3 linked regions of the Tamandua tetradactyla genome follow. The protein of the gene in region 3 interacts with the protein of the main gene of each other region in a pairwise test. Links are inferred from orthologs where the notes say so. Each region holds a gene or a part of one and is shown on either strand. Other genes may lie near its edges. The genes, in order: KIAA0408, TBC1D22B and SORBS3.

The links.
Region 1: the proteins of SORBS3 (region 3) and KIAA0408 interact in binary tests that used the Homo sapiens proteins (3 or more experiments, as listed by UniProt). The two-hybrid records come from large-scale screens. The link is inferred for Tamandua tetradactyla from reciprocal best matches to the Homo sapiens genes SORBS3 and KIAA0408.
Region 2: the proteins of SORBS3 (region 3) and TBC1D22B interact in binary tests that used the Homo sapiens proteins (3 or more experiments, as listed by UniProt). The link is inferred for Tamandua tetradactyla from reciprocal best matches to the Homo sapiens genes SORBS3 and TBC1D22B.

What each region holds. Positions count from the first base shown.
Region 1 is NC_135331.1:188,750,887-188,758,779, forward strand, and holds the start of KIAA0408 (uncharacterized protein KIAA0408 homolog), read right to left. Parts: upstream 3,478-7,893; coding exon 3,343-3,477; intron 1-3,342.
Region 2 is NC_135331.1:94,153,342-94,161,371, forward strand, and holds the start of TBC1D22B (TBC1 domain family member 22B), read left to right. Parts: upstream 1-4,719; 5' UTR 4,720-4,870; coding exon 4,871-4,926; intron 4,927-8,030. UniProt on the Homo sapiens protein: May act as a GTPase-activating protein for Rab family protein(s).
Region 3 is NC_135329.1:23,326,605-23,334,715, reverse strand, and holds the start of SORBS3 (vinexin), read right to left. Parts: upstream 3,094-8,111; 5' UTR 2,689-3,093; coding exon 2,441-2,688; intron 491-2,440; coding exon 323-490; intron 1-322. UniProt on the Homo sapiens protein: Vinexin alpha isoform promotes up-regulation of actin stress fiber formation. Vinexin beta isoform plays a role in cell spreading and enhances the activation of JNK/SAPK in response to EGF stimulation by using its third SH3 domain.

The sequences.
Region 1 (7,893 bases), on a different chromosome or scaffold from region 3:
AAAATAATTGGCAACCTCAAAAATTCAGCTCATTTCATTCCCTAAGTAGACATTTTGCAATCAAAGAATGTTTCCTTTGGAAGTTATATTGATGCTGGCTAGATATTACTGAGTTCCTTTTTAATGCCAAGGCTATACACATTCCAGAAAAGCTTCTCATCCAGATTAAGACAAATATGGCCCTGTCCTAAGTGATATAATAGAACTGCAGGGTTTTGATCATGGATCAGTCAGTATTAAAGTAGACCCCAAATTATTTCTTGATTAGATGCCAGTTATTCCTGCACTCAGCTCACCCTTGAAGAGAGGAAGGAAGTGGCCTTCTGTTTAGGATTGAATCTTGGGGAAGTGTGTCAAATTTCAACAGACCATTGAAGCAAATGGCTCTACCATTTTACAAAGACAACCAAGATCTACATTACTGATATTGTATAAGGAATATAATAACAGACTTACTGCTGTTCAGTATTTACCCAAATCTCAGTTGAGTGAAGCTCTATGTAAAGTTGATGTCTGCAAGACTTGCAGTCCACTTGTTTCTCTCAATACTCAATGAATCTATGAATTAAGCCAGGATACCTTCAAACAGCAACCTTGAATCAAATGTTTTGGCCCCTAAAATAATTTTTACTGAATTGTTTTGGGCATTATGACTTTGCAGACCTTGAAGGGTATTATAAGAAGCAGTCCTAAAAAATGTGTTCAACCTAAGGATGCTACTGGTGGCATTGTCCTCTTTTTCATGAAGCATGGAATAAAACAAAATTGCTTCAGTTTAAAAATGAGAGAAACCTGGTTTTCCTGGGAAATAGATTTGTTTCTGTCTTCTAGATATTGAAACATAGATATCAGACAATTTTTGAGTTAGGCCCTAGAAAGCTTACACTCATCACATAGATTTCACACATTATCCTTCCTTGCCTTCATTTTTGTTTTGGCATTCTTTGCCTTATGTGCAATTTTGTATGCCATCTTAAACCCTTTTTTGGGACTTGAATGAGGTGCAAATAAATGAACAACATAATATGACTGATGGAAGACAATTTATTTTGCATAAGGAAATCTCCATGGCCTAGTGCTCAGCCCTTGTCAATGGTTATCTGATCATTCCGGTAAAGGAGAGAAGCAAGAATGAGTGCAATGCAATGAAAGGTTTCCAGATGTCAATGAACTCTATTCCAGAGTTTCTGTCTGGATTATTCCAGGGTTCAAATGATCCAAGTGTGTACATTTTGGTTTTGCAGTAACAAATGCAAAAGGAATTCACAATCAAGTGTGAAGAGTTGCTGATAGAAAGTCAGAGTCTTAATACATATCAATGCACACTCTCAGCAGACAACAGGATCATTTGAAATCACTGACATTACAACTCTGTATTGGGGAATCTATAATTCCCTAAGACATGGCTTAAAAATTTAATCCTCAGAAGTCAGTGGTAAATGTTATATAAACTCAGTATGTTGTGCTTATGGCATAATAAAATTTTTCCAAGTATTGATTTCTTAATTTTCGTCTTTAAGAATTGCTTTGATTCTCTCTGAGACAAATGAAAATGCTTTCCTCCTGTTTTCTTCAGTCTTTCTATCCCCAGTTTTGCAGCCAATAAGAAGGCATCTTTTATACATGTTTTGAAATTTATTATAAATATTTCATACATATTATATGCATGTGTGTTTGTATATGTCCACACACAAATGGTAAAGGGGGAGCATAGTGCAGGTATTCAGCAGTTATAGAACTTTGTCTAGGGGCATCCTGGGTAAGCACATTGTCTCAATACATTCTAGCCCCAGCTATGGAGATTATTCCACAGATATCATCAGGCAGCAAAGGCATGAATACAGCACTATAGCAACCTCCAAGAGGAATAAGATATTTTATCATTACAACAATTCTGTCTCCCTGATGCAAAAATATGGAGTCCTTAAAAGAACAGTATCTATAGGAACCACAATCCTATGTTTAAGTGTGTTTAATGCCAACTAATTGATAAGGCTAATACTTACCTTAGATGGAATCTACAGAGTTGTCAGAATAATTTGCTATTTGACAATAACAAATTTAACCAGACACCAGATTTTTAAGCTAATGGTATTAATTGTCTAGACCAATCCTGCTTTCCTTAATTATTTTGTTTGGATGCTAGGAGTATCTTGAGATGTTACTAACTGGACCTTTCATGCCTTTTGAGGCCATAATTATAAGTCAGTTTGTGACTGAATTGGACTTTTGGATTCTGATTTGACCTATGCATATTGTTGCTAATACAATTTGAGTCTCTGGGTAGAGGAATTAAGGAAGCAAGCTCAACACATTTTGCAAACTACAGAGTGATAAATTGTGGATTACTCCAAGCAAAGAAATTACATTTCTTTGCCCTTCAATCTCTAATTATGCACTAGTTGCCTGCCTTCTTAGTTCTATTTTAGTGGAAGGTCCATTGGCTATTGTCTCTTTCCTTTTATCATGCCGATTTATATTTTAATCACAACCAATTATGTGGTTGCTAGTAAGAAAAAAGTTTGTGCTATGAACACGTAAAGTGCTTGTTTTGATTGCCTGCGAATAAAGGCCCATGAGTCTGTTAAAATAACCACTTTAATAATGTGCATAATCTCACAGAAGTCAATACTATGGATGTTACCAGAAGAATGTATAAACAGTTTTCAGTTGGAGTAAACCTGAATATACACTAATGCAAACCCTTGAAAGAAACATACCAGTCCCGACAGGCTGAGGAATGGTTAAAGGAGATGCAATGACTGTGTCAGGCATGGTATGATATTTTTTATGATCCCCTTCTTAATAAATGTAGCAACACCTTTTCCAGTGCCATTTTATGTTTGACATATAACAGTCTTTTAAAAAACATATACTGAGTTGTCTAGCATGTAATTTCCCTTAGTAGACATTATTTATAAATGATCTCAGGAAAAGAAAGATCTATATTATAATGCCCAATTGCAGTTTTGCTGATACATGTCCCAGTAGTTACGTCTTACTTTCTTGAGTTTTCCTCATGGGCCCTGGTGTTTTAGAACTCACGCAAAATACCTATCTCACTTCTGATACCCAGGCTCTCTGGCCATAAACTAATAAACGGACACATTTTAGAGTGACATTTTAAGCTCCTAATTTCCATCCAGGGCTATGAAATGAGCCCAGGTGCTCAGATACCACTGACTAAGGCTGTGCTATTTCTGATCTAGTAAATGTCACTGAGACATGCATCTGTCAGAATGGATAAGGACAATAAAAATGTTTCCAATTCAAGAGAAAGCTTAACAGAATTTGCATCTGAGCTGGAATTTTGCAATATATTCAAAACAAATCAGCTCGTACCTCTTCTATCTTCTTCTGCATGATCTTCCATTGACTTTCCCATTCCTTCCTTTCATTGTCAAACTGGTCCAGTAATTCCATCTTCTCTTTGTGCCAGTTGGTCTCTGTGTTCTCCCACTGCTTATGCAGGTCCATGGCAACCGCGGGTCAGCAAAGAGGTGTTTCAGCTCGTCTCTGCCTTCTCTTAACTGTTTCTTGGAAGCTTGGAGGTGTTTTATTTGAAGCAATCTCGCTTGTCTTAAAATAAAGCCTAATATAAACATAATAAGAGAAAGTTCCAAATCCATGTGCTTTCTGGAAACAGTTTATCAAATTGCAAGAGCCATTAAAATAAACTATAGGAAAACTGGACTCAAAAGAAAAGAAATAGATGACAACAATCTGCTTAAGAACAAAAACCTAATACAGTCCATAAAGAAAGACTGTCCAAAGTTTTCCTTTCCCCTTTGTTTCTGAGACCAGACAGCAAAATTATACTGGGCGTCATGGTTGCACGCAGGTGTGAGTTCTAAGTTTTCCTTTACCTAACCAACTATTCTAAAGATTGTCTTTATTTTTCATGAATATGTAAGAGGGGACGTATCAAGTTCAACTCCACGCTGCATCTACACAACAGTGGCAGATTCTGCTGCAATCTAATTACTGTTTTAGGCAATCTGATTATATGTTTCTGTGACTAAATTCCTAAGCCAGTGCTGAACTAGAGTGTCAATTCTACATTCAGAGACCTTGTCAAATGTGATACCGCATCAATTAAGACTATGTTGGTAGTCGACCTTGAACAGATGTGTCACCAAGAGATCAAATTATACAAATATATTTTAATTATGTCACTTCACCAAATAAAATTGGAAAACATCAAAACTATGCTGTGCGTTAAGCTAAAATTTATCTAGCTCTCTTTCCCTTTTCATAGACCATATATCATAAACTGTTTAATAAACTGTTTAGGACATTAGAATGCAGAGAATTGAAGAAAATCTTTTACTCATTTTACTCCTTGATAATAAGCAGTGATAATAATAATTTGATTACATATTTGGGGTATGTGCATTTAGGGTTTTAAGATATGGTTTAATATATTAGATCTGCGTCTCCATTTAAAGTTACCTAAAATTTCTGAGCTTCAGTTTATTCACATTAACATAAGAATTTTCACAGGCTTGATTTAAAGATTAAATGACATGTTGAATACAACGTAGTTTATAAAATATTTTAAAATTTCCCCAATTTTGCATTTAAAATGTTTGCTCTTGCTTTAATTGAAAATAATTTGTGATTAATAAAGTCAGATAGCTTTTTAATGGGCAGAAAAGCATATTTAACATGCATGACTCTCCATCTAAAATAATCATGCCCATAAGCAGTGTAACTTTTCAGTTTATTAGGTCAGTACCGAATTGCCTTACATTATCACGTTGTAGCTCATGCTAATTATGAGCAAAGTTCCTAAGAGTCAAAAGCTTCCTGAGTGCTGGCATTGTAGAATTAAACCTACATAACCAGGCCATTTCTATAGTTACAGATGATGGCTGAATGTGTCATACCCTAAGTTAAGATAAAAACTGAAGACTAATTTTACTTTTGTAAGACTGTTCTGACTATACATGAGGGGCAAACCCGTCTGAACATATACTTTTGATCTGCAATCTATCAATGAATTATAATATATAATAAGAAAACAAACGTTAGTCAGGTATTTAGGGCTTCACCTCCAAAAGCACCGTAGCTATACTGTGATGTATATTGCTATTATTCTCTCAAAGTATGGCACCAGAAATTTGTCTGGCTCTGGTAAGGGGAGGTTTGTCAACTGGGCCTTCTCAGTATTACATGATGAGCTGGTAATTTTGAATAGATAATTTTTACTTATTGTCTTGGCACTTGCAATATTATGACTAATTCAGTCGTGAAAAATGAGTCATTTCGGATTTAGCCATTAAACGTGCTACCATGTCTCATTTTATCCACCTCACCATTTCCTATTTCTAACCCCATTCTCCATCTCTTCTACCACTTCTACTTCTTTTTTGTGCCCTCCACACCTACGGGCAGTGACTAAGTATCTACTCCAGCAAGTGCACAGTCACCCCAAAATCAATCTGTCGTCAAGGACCCATCAAAACAAAGAACATACAGAATTTTTGTATGTATGGTTAAACTGCAGGTTTAACCACGGACATTATAAAATAGGAGCAGAACAATTTCAAACAATCTGGAAAAGAGAGGCTACGGTAACCTTGTTTAGCCCACTGTCTCTAAACACTGGCAATATTCAGAGAGCATCATTAAGTTTCCTCTACATTAATGTCGCAAATGGCTCCGATTTTCCTTTCTATTCCTAACTCTCCTTGAAGCACTTCCACACCAGTTACGAGAGTGTCAGCCCCTTCTCCCTTCACCGACCTGAAGGCTTGCTCTGGGTGCCGGGCCGCACCTGCACCAGGGGACGCTCCTGGGCAGGCAGACTGAGCCCCGCGCATCCTGGCAAGGAGCCAAACCCATCACTTCCTGCGCCCCAGGGCCCGAGCAAGTTCTAGTGCCAGGAAATACGATGGTGACAGATCAAAGACAAGCCCTTGAAAAATAAACACTCAAGGGCAAAATCTGTACCAGTTTTTTCACAGCAGAATTTATGTGGCCTTTTTGCATCTCTGCCCTGTCAAAACCATCAAACATAACGTCTTGACGATACTGCTTCTCCATCTAGACATCATGTGAGGGCTGCAGGCTCGTGAGGATGAGGAAGAGAGGTGATGCCTGCCACCACTGCGGCCCACAGCGAGTGCTCCACAAACGCCCATTTCTCCTCTTTCTCCTCCACCCCTGCTTTCTTCCTGACCCTCCTCACTCCTGCCTTCCTTCTTCTACCTCTCCGCATTTTTTGTTTCTTTTCACCTTCATGATTTTTATCTTTATTTAATCAGTCAACTTATAGAACAAGTCCAACTATGTGGAAATTTCTTTTATTATCAGCAGTTTTCCTCTGCCCTCAGTATTCTTCAAGCGTTTTAAGGATACATATTAGGAAATATTTTTAATTGTTAGCAAAAATGTGAATAAACAAATCTTGCATAAAACTGCTTTCGTCAGAACGCTAACACTTAAGTATTAAAAAAAAATGAAGGGTCAGTTTTGTAGGGACAGAATGTTCTGGAACGAGAAGTTATGGGGTAAAGCGGTTCACCACACGCGGAAACGCAAACCCAGTGCTCTCTACCCAGGCAAATATGAAAGTTCTCTTTGTTCCTCATTGTCAGCCTTTTTCTCCCACAGATATCGGCATCTACGTGGGAGAGAAGGAAGGATTTCTGCGATCCGCCGCCCTCCCCCGTGTCTCTTTGATTCTCTATTGCACTGCAGTCCTTCCCGAATTCCCTTCAGAGTTAACATTTGTTAGCGCCCAGGGGAAAGGACAGGGCGAGCTGCGTGACTTAGTCACACGCGTCCTTCCTACCGGACAGCTCTCCACTGGCATTTCTGATTCCCTTTATCCAGAACTGGAGGGTGGCCTGGCTAAGTCTGGAGGTGGGAAGGAAATAGTTCATCTCACCTTCTGGCCCTACTAGAAAGCAAACTTTCTAAGTAAGACAGGGTTCTCACAAGAAATTATTTCCACTCACCAAATTAGCTTAGGTTGGTCTCTTTTACTTGAGGGAAGCTCCAATCTTGTTATGACCAGGTCAACCCCACTTTTTCCCCACTGAAAACTGCCAATCAGACAAATCCATATGAGGGAAATTTTCTAGTAGCTACTTCTCTCTTCTGAGACTTTTGTTCAGAATATGTGTTCTTTGCTCTCCTATTTCTTTTTTCTTAACACATCCATGAAGATTTTTCAATTATATATATGAGGTTGCATATTCCAACGCCACTCCCAGTGGGTACTGCCACTATCACAACTCTAAGAAGAATCATTTCCCTGGAAACGCTTTGTTTCTAGTTAACTTTGAGGCATCAGCTATTTCCATGCCTACACCTGTCCAAGTAATGCACCTTTTGCTACCAAAACCCCTTAGCCATTTCTCCAGACTATTACAAATGACTTGCACCATCTCATCTAATATCGGACCTTATTCCTGCCATATTGTCCACAGACAAATGCATTCTTCTAGAGACAACCATATGATTTTGTTCCTGGGTAATAGGAAATATTTTTACTGCTATTTATTGCTATTTCAGCATGTTCTGCCTGTTTCAGACAAAGCCAAAGAGACACTACCACACGCAATTCCAAAGAAATCAACTTTGCCTTCTCATTTAATCTTTTCCTTTCCTGACTTTCCTCTCCATTTATTTACTCCAATGAGAAAATACCCAAGCAATAGGTAAACTCATTTTACTTCTCTTAGCTTATAAAATAAACACTTGGAAGGAAATTATTGGCAGGAAAACAAATGGCTCAAATTAATGAGTAACCAGCTAAAGCAAGAGAAGATGTAGTGGCAAGACTCCCTCTTACCTGCAGAAGATTAGCCCATTATGCAGAGACTGCAACTCAAATTACTGAAACACCTAATATGCAGTGAAAAAAACATTACCTTGGATGAA
Region 2 (8,030 bases), on a different chromosome or scaffold from region 3:
AGAATGGTCTTTACATTTTAAAATTGTTGAAAAAAAATGGACAGAAGAGCAATATTTTGTGATGTGAAAATTATATGAAATTCAAATTTCAATGTCCATAAATGCCATTTTATTGCAACACGGCCATGCTCATTCATTAACCTATTGTCTATGGTTGTTTTTATGCTACAATGGCAGAGTTAAGGACTTGCAACAGAGATTGCATATCCTGCAGAATCTAAAATATTTACTATCTGGCCCTTTATAAACAAGCTTGCCAACCCCTGGTTCATTGCATAACTGATATATTTCACAATAATAAAAACTATGGCAGTATTAAAGAAAATCTCCAGAAGAAAAAGATCTATAATTCTACCATCTAACAAAAATTGCTTAATTTCCCATGTTTCTTCCAGTCTTTGACCATACATTTCAATGTATTTTTATTGAAATCAAGCAATGGTATTTTGCATTCTGCAGTCTCCTCTCTTTACATCACACTATAATCCTTTTCCACGTGCTACGTAGCTTTCAACATTTTTAAATATAATTATTAGAGAAGTTGAAGGTTTGAAGAAAAAAATCATGCATAAAATAGAGTTCCCATATACACCTTGCATTAGTGTGCTCCATTTGTTACAATTCATTATTTCAACACTTTTTCATGGCACAATATGCTCATCAAATTTATAAACCACATACCATAATTTGTATAACCACAACCTCATGTTTAAATCTTAATATTATATTCCCCCCCCCACATACACACTATTTATTATTGGTTATAAGGTGCAGAACTTCTTTATGCACAGAGCTTTCCCCCCTCCTTTTGACTTAATATAATAAATTCCTAAGAACAAAGTACCTAATCTTTCTTTCACCCACATCCCAAGCTCTAATCACTCTGTCTTCCCTTCTTTATTTCAGTAAATTCTTGCTTCTTCAGATTTTCGTATATCCCTTTGCCTTCTCCAATATGACTGATTTCTTTCATTTGGCTTTTTCTAGTTGGTTAGATACCAAAAAAGCTCTCTTATCCTTAAATCCCAGCTTGATCTCACCATTCCTTTGTTGGTGCAACATTCTACAGTGCATTATGAGGGCTGTTTCTTGCCTAATTTCTTAACCCTTCCTGTCATCACAGTGTCTACATCCTTCCACTTCATTCTTTTACTGAGGTTAAAGTCCACCAGCACTCTTTGTTATTAAGTCTAAAGGCTTTTATTCTCTCTTATTATTTTCCTCACGGAGCATCTGCTCTGAAATGACCTCTCTACTGTTCTTCAGGCTGTTCTCTTTCTTTTCCTGCATGTCCCATCTCTTACATAAAACTTTCCCTAAGCGTTGGGAAATACGACCTCTTTTTAGTACAAACCCTGCACAGTTCATTCCCTTAACTCCACTTTGCTCCATTCTAAGTTGTTTAATTCTTATTATGAATGAAGATGAGGTTAAGGAGAGTCCTTGACTTGGTTTCAAAATAATTAAACACTTCAGACAAATTCAAAGATCACAGAGCTATTAAGAGAAGATCTACAAAGTGAGGGCCACAGTTCAGCAGCATGAGTGTCATCTGGGAATTCTGGAGAAATGCAGAATTGTAGGCTCCAGCCAAGACCTACTGAATTAGAACTAGACTTTTAATAAGGTCCCAGGTGATCTGTATGTACATTAAATTATGAGAAGCATTGGTCTAGTGAACATATATGTCTGCCACTAAGAACCTCCATCAAGGGAGTGCAAGTGTGGTTCAGTGGTAGAATTCTTGCCCGCCATGCGGGAGACCCAGATTTGATTTCTGGCTTATGCAGTGCTCCCCCACCCCCCACCCCCCCAAATCAACAAATGGTGCTGCAATAATGGGACATTCACACTGAAAAAGGAATGAAATGTGACCCCCACCACACAGCATACAAAAAAAAAAATCTTCCATCAAAAAGGCTCCAAGGACACCTTGGGAACATTAAACCAGTAATTTTCACCTCTAGCTGGGCAATGTTTGGTGTGAATTTGGCTGCAGGAGATGGAGACAGACAACAAACAAATAATCTTTGATATACAGTGTAGATTTGAGTCCTGGGTAGGTAGGTGGTCTCCTTCTTATATCACTCCAGTATATTCTTCTGAAGCTGCAAAAGAGTTTGAAGAAGATTGTGTTTCCCAAGAGAGGAAGATGGTTCTTCAACCAAAGGTTTACTCAAGCTTATAGGATCTTTGGTAAAATGGACACGTCCTATTAGGCGACATGCTTTCTCTAACAATTCCCAACCAAAAATGTGTACGGACAATGTGCTGCTTTGAAAGGATGTATGGCCCCTAGAAAAGCCATGTTTTAATCTAAATCCCATTTTGTAAAGGCAGAATAGTCCCTATTCAATACTGTATGTTTGAAACTGTAATCAGATCATCTCCCTGGAGATGTGATTAAATCAGGAGTGCTTGTTAAACTGGATTAGGTAACGACATGTCTCCACCCATTGGGTGGGTCTTGACTGGTTTACTGGAGTCCTATAATAGAGGAAATATTTCGGAGAATGAGAGATTTGGAGAGAGCAGAGAATGCTGCAGCACCACGAAGCAGAGAGTCAACAAGCCAGCAACCTTTGGAGATGAAGAAGGAAAATGTCTCCCGGGGAGCTTCATGTAAACGGAAGCCAGGAGAGAAAGTTAGCATGACGCCGTGTTTGCCATGTGCCCTTCCAGCTGAGAGAAAAACCTTGACTGTGTTCGTCATGTGCCTTCTCACTTGAGAGAGAAACCCTGAACTTCATCAGCCTTCTTGAACCAAGGTATCTCTCCCTGGATGCCTTAGATTGGACATTTCTATAGACTTATTTTAATTGGGACATTTTCCCGGCCTTAGAACTGTAAACCAGCAACTTATTAAATTCCCCTTTTAAAAGCCATTCCATTTCTGGTATATTGCATTCCGGCAGATAGCAAACTAGAACAGATGTAGAAAACAGAGTAAGAATAACAGAGCTTCTTTGTGTTGAACAATATTAATAGCATCCCTTGGGAATCAGTGTTATTTAACATTTCATAAATGATTAAGAAAAAGAAATACTTTGAGACATAGGCACACAAATTATATTCTGCTTTCTGCCTAGTGAAATGTCAAGTCAATAGGGACATCTTCTGGGACATTTCTAATGCAATGTGAGGATGCTGGAAAGTGGCAAGTGTCTTGCCATGTGGACAAGTGTAAGGCAGTGTACGTAAGAAAAGACAATTCAGATGATATATTTAATGTTATGAACTCTGAACTGCCAGGTACCACCAAGGAAAGGAATCTAGAAGTCGCCGTAGATTATTCCACCAGGACATTAACTCTTCTAAAGTCCAAAAATGCCAGCAAAGTTTCTGGATGTCCAGAATAAAGAGATAACATCAGCTTCAACAAAAATCCACCCATTTGGGGGCTCACTGTGCAGTGCTGGCCACGGCATCCTAAGAAAAAGAGCCATAGAAAGGCGGCTAAAGTGATTTAAAAGACAGAGGTGGTTTTGTTTAATGGATTTAAGGCCCATAAAGGTGCTAGTTGAGAGAAGATAAGATGAAAGTCTGTAAAAGCATGAACGATTCAGGAGACTAAAAATAGCCCTTTTCATACAAACCCATAATTCTAAAATTAGGGGTCAAAAGAAGCTTGGCATTGGGGATAAAGTCTATGTAGAAAGTGGCCATTGAAAACATATAAAAGAAGGTCCTTCTTTAGACAGGAGGTCGTTAAGTATACTCCAATACATACTCCAAAAACTACTCTGGACCTCCCTTCATCATGTAAATATTCCCATGGTATACAACCAGGGAAACTCAAAAAAAAGCAAAACCACCAAGAAGACATTCAAAAGATTCAAAATGATAATATTAAATCTTATTCTAAGTCAAAATCAGATTGAAAATAAATTCAAGGGTGAATGATTTATACTAGACTAAAAGGGAAATTAAGGATGTTTGGGGTTACATCCTTATTCTTTGTGATTTACACTATAGAGGGATACTATGTCCTCTTAAGAAATAGTATGTGGTAGTCTGAATTGGATGGATAAAATAAGAACATTCCCTAAACACTGTTTTTTAGTATCTAGATTCTCATAGTCAGAAAATCAGAATTATTGATTGAAACAGGGATTAAATCATTCGAATTTCATCTACAACAAATTCCTTTCACAGTGCAATTAACAGAGGCCAGGGTGACTGATAAAATAACCGTTACTCACGTGTAGAACAGTTAACTCAGTTATTGGATCCGTACTGACTCTACTTTACAGATAAATAAGCGGGATCCAAACAGAACCTGGAAGGGGAAGATAATAATCACAGTGTTACTGAGTCGGGAGATGTTAAAAATGGGCCATAATCAACACATGAGTCCTTGACTTTTAGGTCGAAGATTTTTTATATGTATACATACATACAGATCACGCTCTCTCTTAAAAACATATATATATATAAGACTCAGAAACACGAGAGACCTAATTTCTCCCTAAGAAAACGGAACCCTTCATCTTTCTCATAGGTCCCTTTCTTTACCTGCTTCTCCTCCCTTCCCGGAGGTAGCAACTTTCAGCCCCGCCTTCTTGCCTGTTCACGCTCCGCCTTCCCCGTCCACCTGTATGCCCGGCTCATGACGTGGCCGATCGCCTTCAGGGGCATGCAGGATTCGGGCTCCCGATTGGTCCGTGCGTCCACGGCCTCTGCAGCCCACCAATGGCAGCGGCGCTGGGTGGAGGGGCGCCCACATCCAAGATGGCGCTCCCTGGCGCTGGGTGCGGGTGACCGGCGGCGGGGAAGCGGCCTGGGTTGGCCCTCCGGTTGCCGGGTCTGGGGGCGTCTGGCCGGGTCCCCCAGCTAGGCCCGCCTACAGCGCTTTCCCCGGGCTGGAGCCATGGCCGCCGAGAACAGCAAGCAGTTTTGGAAGAGGAGCGCCAAGCTGCCGGGGAGGTGAGCCCAGGACCCTGAAACGGAGAGGGGATTGGATCAAACCTCTCCAGATGCTAAGCCCTAAATCCCGCGGGCCTGGGGCGCCCCCGAGCCGGGAAGGCTGGCTGGGGAAACCCGCTCTAGGGGGGCGGGGGCTGCCGGGGGGAGGCAGGTCTGCTGTCAGGCAGAGGAGTTGGGAAACGGCTGAGTGTGGGGGCAGACAGGGGTCTTGGGGCGGAGGTCTCCAAGGGGGTGCCTGCCCTCAGAGCAGACCGGGTGTAAGGGGAAGTGGAGTTTGATGAATAGCCAGTGTCGGCCCTGGGTTCGGATGACCATCCCAGGGCTGCTTCCCACTTTGAACAGAATTCCCTTCCGGGGGTCGTCACCTTGCACAGGTGGTTGCTTGCGTTGAGGATAGCCCCTTCCCTTATTCTCCCAGTTCCACACGTTTGAATCTTTCTCCTGGACTCGTAAAAGGTTCTGGTAGGAGCTCGGGCTGCCTGTAAGGGACAAAAAAAGTGAGGAAAATCCTCCAACCCGACCGTACTTTATCTCAAGTCGGCCCTTTTCCATTAGGAATTATTACAAGGTGACCCTAGAATCGGGGCTTTTTTTTTTTTCCCGGCATTTTTCAGGTTTTTGTCCATTGCCTACAGACCACCCTCCTCCCTGCGTGGTAATATTCGTGTGCAAACGTACTAATTCTGAATTCTTTCATTCCTCAGTTTAGTTGGAGAGCAGACCTTCTAAACTACTTTTTTTCGAATTTGTGCCTTTTTAACGAGAGAAATGAGGGCCAGTGATGACTATGTAGCAGTCTGATTTTATTAGGATCTTGTTAGACCTATAGCGAATAGGATGGGAATCAACTTTTAGTAATACATTATTAAAATAATGCAAAGATAACTTCGGATTGTAATGCTGTGGAATTACAGTGTTAATATTAGTGCTAAAGACTTTTGATGTTTTTAGATAAGCACCACTTCCTGCCAACTGATTCCTTTTCCTTCCTGATCTGGTGAGCTCTCCAGTTGTGCTAACTTCTGTTCTCTGGGGTTTTCCATAGTAAGATCATTAAAATTTGACATCCTCAGATAGTAATCAGAATTAAAGGGAAAACTGTTAAATCAGGAAGGAGTATATGAGCTTTGGACATGGCATGGTCTTTTGTGCCTACTGACTGCTGGTTGCTATTAATGATCTTTTGTTTTCCACACTTCCTCTTTTGGACTATAGGAACAGTCAACTTTTTGAAAGCACTGCTTTTGTGAGATAGAAAGAAGAGTCTTTATTAAATTTCTTCAAGTTTCTGACTTCTTTTTTCACTTTAAAGAGGAATGTAGAGGAATAGAGTAGACCATTTGATTTAAAAAAGACCTCGTCTCTTATTTACCTGTGCCACCAAGGACAAATACTTAATTTCTCTAGACCTCGGTTTTCTTATCTGTGACATGAGGATAACAGTAACTTCCTCAGAGTTATTGTGAAGACTAAATGAAATACTGTATTTGTAAAGAATCTAGGAGAGAGTTTATATAGCATATTACAGTTGCTTAATAAATAGTAATTATTAAAATTGCTGTTACTGTTAGAGCAAGTAAACTTAAAAGCTTGTTTCTCAAGTTCTTACCCTAGTATTAGGGTTTATTGTTTATTCTTAAGGTATTAAATTGTTGCCACACTTCATAAGATTTTTTGATGCCTTGTTTGTTGAAGAGAAACATTGTTCAGGTCTGAGCTTTTAGCAGGGAAGCCCCAGACACCCCTGTTTATGGTAGACAATTAAGGTTCTTTTAGATAGAAAGGTGCTTTGATTTAAGAACTTTACATCTGTACTCTTTCAGTTTTAGTGAAAAAAACCTTTCTCCTGTGTGGAGAAATGAAACAAATGGCTGTATGCTAAGATCATGACACTCTAGAAGTGAGACTAGTTTACTCTGCAGATTGAAAGGTAAAAAATCAAAGTGATGGCAGGGTACTTCAGAAAGTTTCAGAAACTTTCAGTTTCTTTGATCAGGATCTAGAGACCTTAATGACAACAATAGGAATTTTATTTAGTTAAAATAACCTAGGTTCAAAATTAATTAAATGCCTCGTTTTTTCATTGAGAAATATTTACACACATACAGTCTAACCATATTATACAATCAAGGGCTCACGATATCATATAATTGTGTATTCTTCACCATGATCATATTTAGAACATTTGCATCACTCCAGAAAAAGAAATAAAAAGGAGAAAAAAAGAACTCATCTCACAGCCCTTACTCCTCCGTCTCATTGACAACTAATATATTTTGATCTACCCAATTTTTACCCTTTATCCCCCCTATTATTTATATATTTTTTATCCTTATTCTTTTACTCATCTGTCCATATCCTGGATAAAGGGAGCATCAGACACAAAGTTTTCACAATCACATGGTCACGTTGTAAATGCTATATAGTTATACAGTCTTCAAGAAACAGGGCTACTGGAACACAGCTCAGCAGTTTCAGGTCCTTCTAGCCACTCCAGTTCACCATAAACTACAACAGAATATCTATATAATGTATAAGAATAACCTCCAGGATAACCTCCTGACTCTGTTTGAAATAAATGCTCTTTTATTAAAAAAAAAATAACAGTTTTAATAGGATGAAATTCACATACCATAAAACCCTTTTACAGTGTACAATTCATTGCTTTTTTAAGGGTATTCATAGTGCTGGGCATCCATCACCACTAATTTCAAAACATTTCCATCACCGCAGAAAGAAATGCATGCCTCTTAGCAGTCACTTCCCATTACTCCTTCCTTCCAGCACCTGGTAACCACTAATCTATTTTCTGTTTCTATGGATTTGCCTATTCTGTCCATTTTATATAAATTTAATAATTCAATATGTGGCCTTTGTGACTGGCTTCATTTCCTAAGCTTAATACTTTTAAGGTTCATCCATGTTTTAGCATGTATAATACTTCATTTCTTCTGTAGTTGAATAATATTTCGTTGTATGGATATACTACATTTTGTTTATCCATTCATCAGTTGATGGGCATTTGGATTATTTCCATTTTTTGGCTATTATGAATACATGAAATTCATGTACAGAATTTTTGTGGATATATTTTTTTCTACTTT
Region 3 (8,111 bases):
AATCTCTACAGCCTTGACCTTGGCGACTTGGCCCTGTGCTCTTCCCAGGGTATTTTTCAGCTACATACAAGTCCACGTGGACAAGGACAAGGTTTTCTCAAATTTCTCCTTTTCCGGCTTGGGGCGGTGGGTGGGTGGGTGGGAGCTAATGGCCTCTTTCCACCCAAGTTTCCAGAGTTTGGGACGCGGAACCTCTGGGGACCCCACGAGGAGCGGCTCGGCGGCCTCCTCTTCGGGTTTGGCACAGGTCAGAGTTCCCTCCCAGTCCCTCCCCGCCTGCGGCCTCCGCCTCCTAGCCCGCCCTCCCCTCCGTGGCACCTACCTTCCCGGGCAGACAGGTGGCGGGGTCTGAGGACGCCTGGGCGGGCAGGAGCATCTCGGCCCGGCTCCTGCCAGGCGCGGCCGCTGTGGGCCCTCGGCGAGCGGCCGGGGAGACGTCCGAGGTGCGCTCCCTGCCCTCGTGACCCGGCCGGGCTGGGGCTGCGGGGGGCTGGGCGCCCCCGGAGGGAGAGGGCGACAGTGAGCGCGCGCGCGCGGGGAGGAAGGGAACGTGAGTGGGGAAGAGGGAGGGCGGCCGGCGGAGTTAGTGTTTCCAATCTGAACTGTTTGCCGAGGGGTGGGGTGGAGGGCCCGGCTACTCCCTCTCTCCCGCCTCGCGGGGCGGAGGCTCCGGGACGCGCCGCTGAGGGCGTGCGAGTGCCCTCCGTCGGGGCACTGGCCGGGCCGGGCGCGCCGCGGGGACGCTGGTGGCCCCTTGCCGGGGAGGTCGGGCCGGCCGGGAGGCGGCGCCGCCCGAGGGTCCCTGGGGAGCCCGCTCTGGTTTCCCAGCTGCCTTCCCCCCGGCCCCCCACCGTAAGGCTGGCGTCGGGAGGGACACGGGAGAGCCAGCCAGAGCCACTCAGAGTTTCCAGCGACATTTCCAGAGTGTGGGAAGGGAGCTGCTGCACTGCGGAGCCAGGACAGAGGGCAGAAGTGATTAACGACAGCGAGCGGTGGGCTCCAGAGCCCGGGCCGGCCAACGACTGATAGGGAGGCGGCAACTTCGAGAGGCCGGAGACCCGCAGGAGATGCAGACTGGCTGGGACCGAGATAAGCGGAGGGCGCCCCACAGGGAGTCCTTAGCAGAATGAGTTAAGGCCCGGCTGGCTCCCTCCCCACTAGGAAAAAGAGATTTTGTGCTTGCGTAAGCGCGCGTTCGGACGTGTGCAAACCCCACACATGCACACACACATGGCTCGCAAACGTGCAGGTACCCTGGAGACAGCCCCTGGAGGAAATTGGCCTAGGCGAGCAGCACACAGGGCATGCTGCCTCCCGAAAGAGGATGAGGGTGGGGTCTCTTCTGGCCGGGATGAGGTTTGGAGGATCTGACTGTTCCCATACACGGGATTTGTTTTGATCTTGCTGCTTTTCCTCTGTTCCCACATCTCTGGCCAGGGTTCCAAGAGTCCCTGCCCATTGACTCCCTGACCCTAGTGGCCTTCCCTTCTCTGCCCACCTTTCCTCCAAGTCCTGTGTCTGCACAGGGCCTGTTGCCGAAAGTGAGAGTGCTAAATGAGTGTTCATTGATAATGGAAACAGACTGGAATACTTCTAGCCTTTGGCTTGTTTCTGGAATCCTAAGCCCTAAACTAACTAAACAGCAACTTCAGACCCTCTTTGGGATGATAGTTATAAAGTGTCAAAGTAAGGAGACATTTATTGCATGCCTACTGGGTTTTAAGATCAGTGTCCTCAGAAGGCTTTTCAAGTATATTATTCAACTCAAAAGTTCAGAAGGGAGTAGGGAGAGGGAATGAAGCTATTTTAAATCCCTACCACCGCTGATGTTATTAGCTTTTAACTTATCTTTTCTCACTTCATTTAAAAGAATTATCTCTGGTTGCAATGGATGGGCTTGACACAGGATCAAATATGAAAGGAGATATTTAGGCTAAGGAGAAGCTTGAGAGACAGGGCGTGCAGGCTGACTTCCAATGTCTGTGGGACTGCAGCAATGTTTGCATTCTATGGAAGTACACTATGTGGGAGTGCAACTTCTGCTAACAGAAGTGGGACCATTGGGTACAAATTATAGGGAAAGCAATCCAAGCCTTCCAAGATAGTGTTCTTTAATAACTGTAAGTGTTCCAAGTCTGCCAATTGTGGATTGTTTTTGTCAAGGCAATTATTGCACTGAGCAGGGGGCTGAAGGAAACTGTTTCCTTGTAAGAATGTATGATTCTTTAGGAAAGATGAAGGGAAGGGGATGGATTTGAGAGCCACTCATAATAGAAGACAGCTACAGAAAGGAAGGTAGGAGCTCAGGAAACTTAAGGGCAGGAAGTGGAGCATCCCTCCCTTTCCTAAAGCTTGAGTACTTACCCACCCCTAGGGACCATTTTTTCTCTCCCTAGGGACAATGTATGTGCCCATTTCTCTAGTCACCAATTTTTCCCACCTGTTAGGATCCTTGGCACTAGGAAAGGCCACATCACTTTCATTTTCCTCCTTGTTTTCCAAAGACAGTGAAGCTGAAGATCCTATGACTCCAGGAATCCTGGCCATACCCTTTCTCACTAGCAGCAAGCTTCCCTTATTCTCTAGGGCTCTGACCTGGGCTCCAAGATAAATATTTAACCTAGAGGTTGCAGCTGAGCTGACAAAGGTCCCAACTTCCTGTTTGTCACAAAGGGAGGTGGCAGCCATCAGCAAGTAGCTGGGAACTGCCTACCAGTTTCATCGCTATGGAAATATGGAGTATACGGCTTCGTAGGAGGAGGAGGGGCAGGCCCTGATGGAGACCTGAGGTTTTCCCTAAGCTGCTCTGACTTCTGCCTGTCTTCTTAGGTGCTGATTCTGCCGGGCTTATGGCTTTTTCTCTCAGGTCAGAACATGCTTTGCCCTAGCACCAGCTAAAATCATTTTCCTTCCCAGCACCTTAGACTATCTGCTTGGACAAAGGAGGGCCTATAATGGGGACTGTCTGTTGTGTTCCGTGGTGCCCATCTGACCTCATAGAAGAGAGGATGAGGGATTGGTGAGCGCATAGGGCAGGAAAAAAAACAAGGAACCTTGACTACTTCCTCCTGTTCTGCCTATGTTTAGGGAAAAGAATCCCTACTCTTTGAAAAGTGGGAGATGAAGGGGGAAAAAAGAGTAGCAAGGTTCAGAGACAGCCCAAAACCAGGTGTCTGATTTCTCAACTCCTCCCTCTGTCTTCGTGCTATTTGTTGCTGGCCTGACTTCCCAGTTGGCATCTTTTTAGGGAGAGGCTGAGGATAGAGGAGACTGTCCTAGATAACATGGCTGTTGTCAACAGCAGAACAGATTCCTTTAATCCAAAAGCAGTGTGTCCTCTGCATGACTCCCTTATGCAGGGACCTCCTTCCCTGAGCTTGCCTCCTCCCCACCTCTGCCACTTTTTTTTTTTTAATTTTTAAAAAACATAACAAACAAACATTCTTAACATGTGATCATTCCATTCTACATAAATAATCAGTAATTCACAATATCATCACACAGTTGTATATTCATCATCATGATCATTTCTTAGAACATTTGCCTCAATTCAGAAAAAGAAATAAAGAGAAAACAGAAAAAATTTCATACATACCATACCCCTTACCCCTCCCTTTCACTGATCACAAGCACTTCAATCTACTAAATTTATTTTAACATTTGTTCCCCCTATTATTTACTTTTATTCCATAGGTTTTACTCGTCTGTCATAATGTAGATAAAAGGAGCAGTACGGTAGATAAAAGGAGCACTGGCACTATCTTTTGTCAGGGGACTGCCTCTGCCTTCTCAGAGCCACCTCAGCCATAGTAAACATAGTTACATAATTGCTGTTTTTCCTAGCTGTCAGATCCCAATCACCAGTATCTTAGGCCCCCCTCTCCACTCCTGGAGGCTACCACCTTTAGTTCTGTGGATTATCCCTTAATAGCACCCATGTCAGCAGAGGTCTGTCCATTCCAACCACCCTAAGGGATGATTAGTCAAGAGACTACCAATTAATGTGGGACTTCACACAAAAGGGAAGAAGGTGGCTTTTCATGCAGGAATGCAGGTCACACTGAAAACTAACCTGTCACCAACAGGAAGGTTGAACGGAAAGTGGACTTCAGTAGTTTTTTATTATAAAGGAAGGCTAGGTAAATAGGGTCCAGCAGAGAACTGTTACATTTCTTAAGTGGGGAAAGGGAAGCCAGGGATCCCAGAAGACATAAATATGGACTCCTTCTTGAGGAGTGTCTTTATCTGGGCCTGGGAGTTTGGTATTCACACCAGACACACTGCTGTGATCTACCCTAAACAGCTAAGTGCCTCCTCAGCTTTGTGCCTCAGTCCCCCTACATTAGATAAAGGAAAGGCATCTATTGTTCCTTTTTTTCTCAGGGATGAATTTTCAGGTAGACTTTGAGCTGGTTTTTTATTTGTACTCTCAGGAGTGTTTTCTTCCTGCCAAGGGAACTGAGCAAGCAGATCAGAATGGATTAGGAAAGAAAGCACTGTCCCTTTCGACGAGTTTGGACTTCTCTATTGGGGAAGCTGACAGTGACACAGCAGTGAGGAACTGAAGACCAGTCATACACACACCAGCAAAAATCTGGGCTGTTTCATCCCCTGAACGCCATCCCTTTCTCCTGGGTCCTCTCCTGATTCCAGCACCTGCATGTGTTCCCAGCCAGGTTCTACTGATTGCCCTTATCTGTACCAGCCACTCATGGGAACAAGAGCAAGCAGAGGAGGAAAGAGTAAATGACCCTCTTTGGGGCTTAAAAGGCCCTCCTAAATGGACAATGGCATGATGTAGATGGCCTATTCCCATGTCTTGTTCATCTGAAATCCAAGATTTTTGTTGTAGTCACTGTAAAATGAGGGATATTTGAGAGTGAGAAATATATGAGATTAATACAGGTCAGGTATGGTCAATGGTGGGCCCTGGAAGCCAGAACGACTGAGGGGATCCCCAAAGGATTAGAATGAGGCTTTCAGACCTGCCTTTGTACAAATCTTTCCATAGCATACACATGATGGAACGGGCATCTATTCAAGGTTCTTGGAACCAACAAAATCCAAATCCTAGAGGCTGCGTGAGAACTCAGCCTTTTGCCCAGTTTATCTAGTCTATCCTCAAGGAAGGTTTTACACTGACATAACAATTATTCTCTCTCTTCCTCTTTTCCAGTTGGGCAAACAAGCACAATGCACAGATGAGGTGTCTTTGAGAAGAACTGAGCTGTGTGAACTTCTTTTAGTTCTCAGGAAAGATGGAAAGAGAAGTGTCTGTCAGCTCTTTAGAGACTAGATTTTATAGGGGAAGGATAAATGAGTGATGACCTCAGAGGAAAAACCCAGCCAAGTCAGCTCAACCACAAAGAAGAGCACAGAACCAGGAGTTGGAAAATTAGGTATGCATCAACCATCTTTCCTAGCTCAGTTAAGCTAAGCTAAGTAAGATAAGAGGGATGATTTGTTGGCCAGTGTACACTTGAGGTAGAATTCTGGCCTCTGAACAAAGAATAACCTTGTCTTTCCACCTCCGATTTTATGATGAACCTTCTCCTTAACTGCATCAACATTAAAAAAAAGACCATCTAATTTACTGTTAAATTCTTAATTCCCTGCATCAGAATTAAATAGATATTCTTTCTAAAATCTGGAAATTTTGATAAAAAATATAAAACCATGTAATTACATTTAGCAGCCCAAGAAATGGGGATTAGATCTTGATATAGCAAGAATTAAATACAATTTTGCATTTGGATCCTTAATTACCAGGCTTTTAAAAAAGTTTTAGGACCTGGTTGTCAATTCTGGAAATAAGGGCACATATAATATTCCTATTTTGCTGAAGGTTTAGCTGAAATATAAGGATAACGCTAAGGCATGATGCTATTGGAATAACAAAGAACTCAAAATGTATACCCAGCTTATCTGAGATTAGAAATCTGGACTTGTTTTATGGGCTGTGAACTGCACTGTGGCCCTCAATGTGGTATGTTTAAAGTAAAAAATTCTGAACTTGGGTTTGACTTTCTGGATTTAGACTTTCTACCTCCTCTGCCATAACGTGTAGAACTTCCTCACTGATGCATTTTCCTTTCAGGCTGCTAGGCACTTTCCCTATCCTCAATTACCCACTTGCCCAGAGGAGGTTATTTTTCCTCTTGACTCCCCAGCACCTGATGTTTCTACTTTTCAGATGAATCACAGGGCTGGTTCTGATGCTTCTTTTTCTTGGAGTCTGACTTAACACTCAACTCCTCTCTGCCTTCTTCAGCTTCTCCTGAGTGGGAATTCATCCATGTCTATTATTAGGATCACAGGCAGAGTAATTAACTTACTACAATAAAAGACTTTTTTTTCAGTTTCGTAAAAACAGTCTTCTGGGAGCCTTTCTTCCCTTTTTTAAAGTTGCGGCCTCTGCTGGAGAAGCCACAGAAGGAGCTTGGATTTGAGCATGAGTTACTTATGGCAAAATGCCAGGAAGGCAGCCAAGGGCCCCGGAATGAATTCTGAGTGAAGAGAAATAGAAATACCTCTACAGTTATCAAAGCCAATTTAAAAATAAAGGATAAGAGAGAAAGAAATAGGTATTTTTTATTATGATGGAATTCCATCTCTTAAGAGGGGAATTCCTTGGCATTGTCAGCGACCAGACCAGACACTAAACACCAAGCTTTCCCTCGACTTCTAGAATTATTAAATAGGTAAGAGCCAAATATAAGTGCCTTCATCAGGAAATAAAGAAAACAGGGAGTCAATGAAGGTATAGTTTAATTTTAAGAGAGTTTTCTTTTTTTTTTATCTTTAAGATGATTTCCAATTTACAGTAAGAAAGTTCGAACAAATTCATTTCTTATTCTCAAGAAAGACTAATTAAATGATTTCTGCCAAAATAACATTTCCACCATCTCTTTAACATAACTGAAAGCATGAAAAAAGCATGTAATCTCTAAGAATAAGTATATATTCCGTAATTCATAAGAACCTAAAAATAATTACACTGCCAGCTAGTATCATGTGTCTGACCACCTCAAATAGGATGCAAAACCAGGATCTTTTCATTGGAAATGACTGCTGACATTTCTATTAGGAAAAATAGCTGTTGGTTATAGTACACTGAAAAAGGACAAGTGAGATGTTCATGATGGCATCTTAAAAAGATACTTTGACAAAACTCCACATCTTTATTATTCAAACTTAAAAATCTATGGTACATTACCTCCTTCACTTCAACATGCAAAAAAAAAAAGTTATTTTGAGGACAGCTATGTCAAGGGAATTTTGGTAAGGGCATATAGGAGGGCAATGTGAATGGCCCTACTTTAGAGCTGCTTGGAGGGATGGTCCACATGCATGTCCTTGTTTCTTGATTTTAAGCCACCTAGATTTGTCATGGGGTTATAGAAGAGGAGAAGATGCTAAGACTGGTCATAACTGTCTCAGACAAAGGTGGTATTTAGTGAGTCTTGTCAAGCTTGCTGAGACATGAGGTCAAGGTCTCCTTGGAGGGAATATACTCTGCAGTGTTACCTTTACCTTTGTGGCTGTGTAGATGAAAGCAGCGAACACTGACCTCATTCACTTCTGTTGGCAGGCCATGTCACAAGTCTCAATGTAATATAGGTTCTCTCTTTCACACTCTGTCAATGGCACAAAGCTCTATTGTTAGCATTGGTCTCTGCTTTCACTTAAGTAAAACCCTGTTTTTCTACTGTACAGATTTCTTCCTCAAGACACATTTGCTCTTTCTTAAGGCTTTCCTATGAGTGTTCTGAACATAGTGATGCTGCAAAGGCACTGTGGCAATACAAGTCTTCAGAATGTTCTCCGTGTAATCCAAACCCTCCTTGATCTATTTCTGGAGTTTCCCAAGTTGCCCTTTACTCCTCCTTATGGCATATTTCAGAAAAGATATTGGTGGAGTGTCCCACAAAGTGAAATCCATGGTTATAACTACAAATAACTGTAGGAAACTGGAGCTTTATATGTACAACTTGGGTTCATACTCCCACCCTGAAGTCTTCTCTGCCTGGGTAGGGAAACAAAGCTAAATAATGCTTGAAAGCAACTTGGGTTCCTCTGTTGCTATAACAATTAGAATCACTATTGGAGAT